Rhinolophus ferrumequinum: one gene and its partner. The protein of the gene in region 2 binds, or shares a complex with, the protein of the main gene of each other region. Links are inferred from orthologs where the notes say so. Each region holds a gene or a part of one and is shown on either strand. Other genes may lie near its edges.

What was found.
Region 1: the proteins of STAP1 (region 2) and LAT2 are in contact, whole or in part, in a crystal structure (PDB 3MAZ), measured with the Homo sapiens proteins. The link is inferred for Rhinolophus ferrumequinum from reciprocal best matches to the Homo sapiens genes STAP1 and LAT2. Residues at the interface, in NP_001304698.1 of Homo sapiens: Arg184, Arg203, Pro204, Gly205, Ser206, Ser212, Ile215, Gln217, Ile219, Lys225, His226, Tyr227, Lys228, Glu239, Leu240, Glu241, Tyr255, Phe256, Glu259, Thr260, Arg261, Asn263, Leu264; in NP_054865.2 of Homo sapiens: Asn134, Ser135, Tyr136, Glu137, Asn138, Val139, Leu140, Ile141, Lys143.

The regions. Positions count from the first base shown.
Region 1 is NC_046290.1:93,769,444-93,773,357, reverse strand, and holds the start of LAT2 (linker for activation of T-cells family member 2), read right to left. Parts: upstream 2,974-3,914; 5' UTR 2,598-2,973; intron 1-2,597. UniProt on the Homo sapiens protein: Involved in FCER1 (high affinity immunoglobulin epsilon receptor)-mediated signaling in mast cells.
Region 2 is NC_046288.1:26,700,321-26,704,234, reverse strand, and holds the start of STAP1 (signal-transducing adaptor protein 1), read right to left. Parts: upstream 3,122-3,914; 5' UTR 3,049-3,121; coding exon 2,929-3,048; intron 1-2,928. UniProt on the Homo sapiens protein: In BCR signaling, appears to function as a docking protein acting downstream of TEC and participates in a positive feedback loop by increasing the activity of TEC.

The DNA of each region.
Region 1 (3,914 bases), on a different chromosome or scaffold from region 2:
CCTGGGCACTGTCCCCGCACGCAGCCTGTCCTGTGGCCACCCCAGGGCACACTCCCTCTGGAAACTCTGGCCATGGCCCAAGTCTATCTCAGGCTGTATGAAGTTGGGAGCACCTGCCTTAGAGGGAGGACTCCTGGGGCCAAATCCTGCCTGTGCCTCAGCATCTCTTGGCCTCAGTTTTCTCATCTGTAAAATGGGGATCAGTCATGTCCAGCCTGGCTCATGGCCGGGGCTTCCTGAAGCCCTGAAATCTGGTGAGGGCCTTATTTCTGGCTGGCTGATTGGAACAGCTTCCTCAGCCTCTTAACCCTTGACAACTTTGGATTTTGCTTAGGACAGCAACTATCTTTCTGCCCTCAAAGGACATTTGGGCACAGACACTCAGGGTGGGTTGCAGACATGCTCCCTGAGAGCTGGGACCCAAGTCCACCCCCAGCAACCCCAGGGTCTGCTTAAGAACCTTGGACCAAGTTCACACTCGGCCTGGGATTTGAGGCTGAGACCTGACTTGCTAACCTTTGAGGAAGGGTGGCCCTCCATGCCAGAGGACCCTGGCCACCAGAGAGAGCCCTCCTGCTTCCTGGGGTGAGCAGTATACTTGGGGATGCTCTCAGCCCTGGTCCATCTCCACCCACCTGGCTCTGGGGGAGGGTGGGGAAGGGAGCATGAGAACAAAAATTCTGCTTAGGAACGAAAATTGAATCCCAGCCTCATGGGCCTTTGGTTGCCCCTTTGTTAAATGGGGGAAATAATGACACTCTACCCGTGGGTTTGTCACATGAGGTCTGGCATTGAGATGACACATGTAAGGTGCTAGTGCAGGGCAGGGTACGGTTGGCTGTGACCTCCATGACTGGCCATCATCAAGGTCCCCATGGAAGGGGCAGGCATAGCCACAGCTTGTCAGGGCTGGATCTGGCTGGTGGGCCCTGCAGTGAACAATGGGGAGCCCTCCCCACCTGGTTCTCAGACACATAGGCCTGAGCCTCCCCCCACTGCCCCTTTAGGGCATTGGGCTGGGGACACCAGCCTTGCCTCAGTCAGTTGTCACAAACACATGAAGCATCACGTAGGAGACACCACTCCTCCTTCCCAAGGGAGGCCCAGAGGTGAGCACTCTGTCCAAAGTCACAGCCAGGACCCAAACTCAGGGCAAGCTGCCTCCAAAGGCCACACCCTTTTGCCTTTTTCTTATATTGCATTGTTTTATTTATTTATTTTTTATTTTAAGGAGGCCACAGCTCACAGTGGCCCATGCGGGGATCGAACTGGCAACTTTGGTGTTCTTAGCACCATGCTCTAACCAACTGAGCAAACCGGCCACCCCATTATATTACATTTTAAGAATCATGAAATATTTTTTAAGAGAAGCTAATTTGAGGAATCCTCCTGTGGCTGCCCCTTGTCCCTCAGACTGAATAAATCTGTCCCCTCTCACTGATTTCCACTTATGTTCTGGGAGCAGATGGGGCAGGGTGAGGGTGGAGGGAGAGGAAGGAGGCTTGCTGGCAGGACAGTCCGGCCCAGCCGCCCCAGGAGGCCCCAAGAAACCAGGCAGGGCTGGGTGGGGTGGGGAGAGAGGCTGCCACAGCCCGTGGCTCTGTGGGCCGAAATAGCACAAGGGGAAGTGGGCAGTTTTCATATGAGCAAGGTTTGCAACAAGCCGGCTGTGGGAAAGCCCTAGAGGCTGGGCTGAGTGGGCCTCAGCGTCCGAGCCTCCTGCCCAAAAGGACCTTGGAGATGATACTGCCCACTCTCCCAGCCCTTGTCATGCTGTCGCAGGCGGAAACAAAGGCCCACCAGGGCCTCAGGGCAGGCTGAGAGGTGAGGGTGGAGCGAGAGGTCCCGGCCCGAGTCTTGGAAAGGCTCCTTATGCTGGGCTGTGCTCTGGGGTCTGTTCTGTTTTCCCAAATAACCTTGGCCTTCACATAAGGCTGGCCTGAGAGGCTTCTAAATGGAGGCGTTCTCAGTGCTCAGAGGGCCTGGGCAGTCCTTGTCCTAGCACAGAGGTGGGGGCTGATGCAGGCCAGGGCCACTTGTTGACAGAGCTGGGCACCAGGATCTCCCCAGGGCCTAGAGCCTCGCGGAGCCCCAGCAGAAGGCTGGCAGGCCAGGCTGGGGAATGGGTGGGGCAGCAGGGATAGCTGCTTCCATCTGGCCTGGGCAGGACCTGGGCACGCTTGCCTGTAGAGTCTTACCCATCCTCCCATAGCCTAGTGGCCGGGATGTTAGTCCCATTTTACAGATGAAGAAACCAAGGCTCATGGCCTGGACGTAGGCAGCCACTGTCCCAGCCCCTCACCAATCTCTGGAAGTTACAGGACCACCCTGGGGGCTTCCCAGGGTTGTGCAGGCTGAACTGGAGAAGGTGAGGGCAGGAAAGTGGCCAGAGCCCCAGAAACAGGGTGGCCCTCTGAGTGTCGCAGGGCCAGTTCAGGACTGAGGCCAAAGGAGGCATTCTGACATCTTCCCACCCCACCCAACGGGTCGCCAAGTGCTCCTGCTGGGCCAGCGGGGCCACTCTAACCCCTAGGGAGTGGGCACCTCAGGACTTCTGCCCCAGGGCCAGCCTCCAGGCATTCTTGGGGAAGGCTTACCTGAGAGTCGGGGGCTCTTCACGGCAACCACCTCATCCTGAGCCCACACACCTGCCCGAGCTGACGCCAATGTTGCAAACACTGGCGGGCAGCAAGCAAGACTGCGGGCTTCCTGTCAGCCACTGAATCATCCCTCACATCCGCTGCCCTGCCGGACAGGCTGTGCTGTGAATAGGCGGAGACACACACGCACACACACACAGAGGCAGAAAGAGAAAGAACGCGACAAACAGGCACAGAGAGAACAGAAAGACAGGGACACACAAACATACACACATTAAATACACATATGTAAACACGAGTCACAGGGGGCGGAAGACACACACAGGAACAGGGAGACAATAAATGGGGGTGTTCACACGGTCACACAGAGAGGGGGGAGGAAGACATGCAGAAACACACACTTAAGAACACACACAAACACAGAAATACACACCCACGCTGTAAACCCCCCCCCCCCCCCAGTTACCCAGACACAGAGAACCAGAGAGAGAAAGAGACAGAGACCGAGAAAGAGATACGCAGGCAGGGAGAGAATGAGGAAGAGAAATACATACACGCAACATACACAGACACACAGAGGGACAGAGAGAGACAGGCAGAGGTTGAGCCTGAGATCAACCAAGAGACCAGACTCAGAGGGAGAGTGAGACACAGGAAGACAGAGATCCTCAGATGGTCAGAGACACACAGAATGAGGGGGCCAGAGACAGACAGACGCTCAGAGAGCAAGAGTCCCAAGAATGAGACACACAGTACACACACATACATAGAACGGGGGACCTGGTAGACAGGGCAGACAGACAAACGGCTCAAGACAGAGACAGCCGACAGAGGAATGACAGCCACAGGCATTGGTGGGAGCAAGACAGAAGCCAAGCTGAAGGACAGAAGGACAATCACACTCCTCCTGGGAGCTGCATCTCATCCCCCCCATTTTCCAGATGAGGCTCACGGAGGCACGGAGCAGGGTGACAGCACGAACAGTGAGGTCTCAGCCCCACTCTGACCGCTCTGTGCCTGTGGCAGCCTTTTCCCTCATTTGGGGAAGGTGCGATGTAAGGTCTGGAAGGCACAGCTCCCTGGGAGAGACAGGGAACCCCATGAGTCATGCTGGAGTACTCATGCTGCTGGCCATTAGTAACTTGACCAAGGCCATGGAACTATTAGTGGCACCCCACTCACCAGAGACCCCCAGGGAAGCCCTCGAGGGCCCCCCCCCCCCCCCCCCGACTCCGCATCAGTCTGGCACTTCAGAGCCCGGTCTCTCTAGCTCTGGTGGCCCCCCTCAGCTTGGGCCTGGCTGTGTCTTGTGGC
Region 2 (3,914 bases):
AGTAAATGTTCCCACATTATCGTTTCTGTGAAGATTATGTACTTTTAATGAGTTCGGCATCCACCGAACTTCTGGAATTGCATTTTAAATAATGTATGTTGGCACATTTTCCTGGGGGCAAAGCCCCTTAAATTCTTAGATGTGCCTGTTGCCACGCAGCAGCCTACCCGTCTCTCTCTTTGTACCTGCCCCTAAAGAAAGGAGAGTCTGAAACGGATCCTTTCAGGGACTTTGCTACACCTTTGTGCTTGCACCTTATGCCTCCGTTTGGCCCCAGAAAGATGGCTGGTCAGCCAATGATGAGTAGGATTCCCTACGGGGGGGGGGGGGGTGGGTGGGGGGGGGGGGGGGGAGGACAACTCAAGCCAGGCTCAGTCGAGTGGGGACCAACAGGAGAATCCACAGGGTCGATAGAGGTGAGCACAGACCCCCATCTATCCCCGGCTAAGGAAAGCCTCTGCCTCTGTGGCTGCATTCCTTCCCACAACCTGCAAGGGAAGAGATTCAGTGATGTGCTCTCCATCTCTTCATATGCATAAAGGTTTTGTCCTTTGGGGAAGTACATACATCCTGAGACTTACGGTTCTGCTGCTTGCAGGCACGGGTGATTGGCTTGAATCAGTTTCCTATTATGATGTCTAGGATTCATAGAACTTGAGATGTACAAGCTTTATCTCCTTTACTTCCCTACTTAACTAATAAAAGCTAAGGAATAGGCCAGATTGGATTTGGGCCCAGTCCTTGAGGCTGCAGTCCCTTGGCCCCGCTTACACTCTATTCATAGCTACTGTCATTTCTTAACCCTGCACCGCCCTCCTCGCTCGCAACAACCCTCCACGCGCGGGACACCACATGTGCCCTGTCACAAAAACAGCTAAGAAACGCCTCTTAACATGTAATCTCTTTATAGACCAGGTTACTCCTCAGTTATATATTCCCTAGTTTAAATACTCTGAATTCCTTCAGTAGAGACTTCACTAAACATTTTGCAGAGCCTCCCAACTTTCTGCGGCCCATTAGCTCCAAAGATGACCTTCTATATATCCTGGGCTCACCTTCCTTTCAAGGGTTCCCTGGCACTTTTCAGCCACTTGCCTAGAAATCCCACTATTTTCCATAGCTTTATCTCATAGCTTCTATTTCCAAGCACTTTATCACTGTGGCTCTCCTTTGAGACATTACTTGTGAACTCAAAACTGATTTTAGTATATTAATAAGAATATGATAAATAATGAAATGGGAAGAGAATGAATCTAACCTTTGGTGTAAGCCAGGTGTTTTACATATATTATCCCTTTAATCCTTGAAACCACTCTATTAGTAGACATTATTGTCCTTCTCTTGCTCTCTTCTCCCTGACATACGAGTACAAGTAAAAGATGCTTTGCTATGAATGCAAGTGGAAACACCAGTTAATTTCATCAGAAATATTGATGCCTATAGTTTATTCTTTCCATTTCAAAGCATGCTTTCTAAGAAAAGATACAGGAACAATCAGGTACAGGAGTCATCATTCCTTGCTCTTGAAGGTAGGGAACTTTGTGTTTTATTCATATACTCCAGAACTGAGTGTGTTGCTTGGTGCATAGGAGGTTGCTTGAATGAATACATTGAGCACCTAGTGTATCCTAGGCATTGTACCTTGGAAGGCAAGTCTATTCTCTCCATTTTATAGTTGAGGAAATTGAGTCCCAAGGACATTGAGTAACTTGTATAAGATCACAAGCTGTGAGCAGCAAAACCATCAGGTAAAACTTTTCAAGCATTTAGGGTCAGGCAGGGGGAAAAATAGAGCATATAGGATCTCCCAAAAAACATTCCAATGTAACTGATAAATATTATTAATACATGTTTAGCACCCATTACAGAATACAAATTACCATGTCTTTACTCTCAAAGATTAAATTATCTGATTATGTATGCAAGACATATGTGCTATTATAGGTATTTCAAATACACATTTTTTCCTTAATATCAATAAATCCTCAAAATATATTTTTGTTATCACTATTAAGCATGTCTTCTGGCATTTATCAAAACACTTAATTTTTTTCTAGTTTCAGTTAATATTAAAATTTCATAAAATTTGACCTAAGTTACTGATTTTTTTCTTTAGTAACAGATACTTCATGTTCATTTCTTCCATTCATTTTAATTATTTATCATTAATTATTCACAATTGCTATTTTAAAGCACTCATTTTAACTAATTATAAAGTTTTCATTTTTACATTTTAAAAATATGGAATGCTTTGTGAATTTTCTTAGAGTAAATGTGTTTATGTTGCATAGTGTACACACTACCCACAGAACATCCTAAGTATTATATTTTAAAGTCACTATCTTGAACAGTGTTTTTAGAACATATTATTATACATAATGTTAAACAGTATCAATTTTATCATTTTCAGAATTTTTTACAAACCTTTACCACTTTAAAAAATAATTTGACCATTATTTATAAACTTCAAACCACTGAGAATAGAAGCAGAAGGTTTAATTTCAATTATAATATTTTATCTTAAAGATATACTGGTATGTCATCATGAAAGCATAGTGGTAAATTGCAGAGAAAAGACAGGAAACATTTCATCTTCTAAGCCCAAATCTTCTGTAATGTTTTAATGACCTCTTTGGAAATTTAGCTTATTGATTGTTTTAACATCAGTGACAATAAGAAACTTTTTATTATATACAATGCATATATATATATATATATATATATATATATATATATATATATATAAAACATATGTTTAAGACATACATTGTATTTAAATTGTGCAAAATTGTAATAATATTTCTGAGCTAAAGGAAGAGGGTTTAATCCCAACAGAAACAAGGAGGCCCCTGTCGTATCACATCACCATGAAATAAATGTTATATGAAGACAGAAGCTTCTAGTTTAACATTATCATCTTTGACTTACCTGGTATTCTGACCGCTTGACTAATAAAAAACCTTCAAAGTATAAGGGCAGAGCAGTAATCTTTAACCTTTCTTGGAAGATCCTGCGAGGGGCTGGTTTTGGGGGCTTCTTAGCCATCATACCCTCTCGTTGGTGTGTGGTTTGGTTTCAACTGTATACAGTCTCAAACAAAATGAGATCTCCCTTGTGTTAGAGGAAAAGGCAACTGTTCAAAGAGGAAGTCCCAACTCGGTTTTAAACCACCAACAGGACACACAAAAACACACACACACTTTTTTTTCTTTTTATGAGGTAAGAAAAAACAGGCATAGACCAACTTTGAGAAAGCAATCTCTGGGTTACCTACGTGTACTTAGAATTACAGTAGCAAAATAAACAGAAGATTAACATCACCAGAGGATGAAAGGAACTGATGTGGAGATTATGTGCATTAGAGGAGACATCAAGGTCACATTTGTTTTCTTCCACCTTTTTTTTTTTTCATTGCTGTCCATTTTTATCCCCAGGAAACATGAGTTGAATTAACTCCACTAAAAATTACTGCACAGGACAATGTTATTAGGACTATTTCTGTTTAAACTTCGGGATCAAGCTTTGTTTAAATTTTTAGAAAAATGGAGTTATTTATGCCATGCCTATTTTGATAGTCCACTAAGTATAAAACACAGTTAAGAGAGAATGGAAGTTTTCACTATTTTGAGTTTGTGGGTTACCAGGGTATGTTTGGCGAAATATGTCTGGCAGAGAAAACTATACATTTTCAAACATTAATTTTGTTCTTTTATGCTTTCTGAGCTGTGGATCACTGATACTGAGATGCATAGGTGGGGGTTCCTATAGTTATTTAGTGAGATTTATAGAGCTACACTGGGGCAAAATACATGTGGGGAATTGTCCTTCAGAGACTGGATTTGGCTCAACATTATGAAAGGAATGATGGCGGGGGCGTGGGGGACATCGGAAGGGATTCTGGTTTGTTTTGCAGG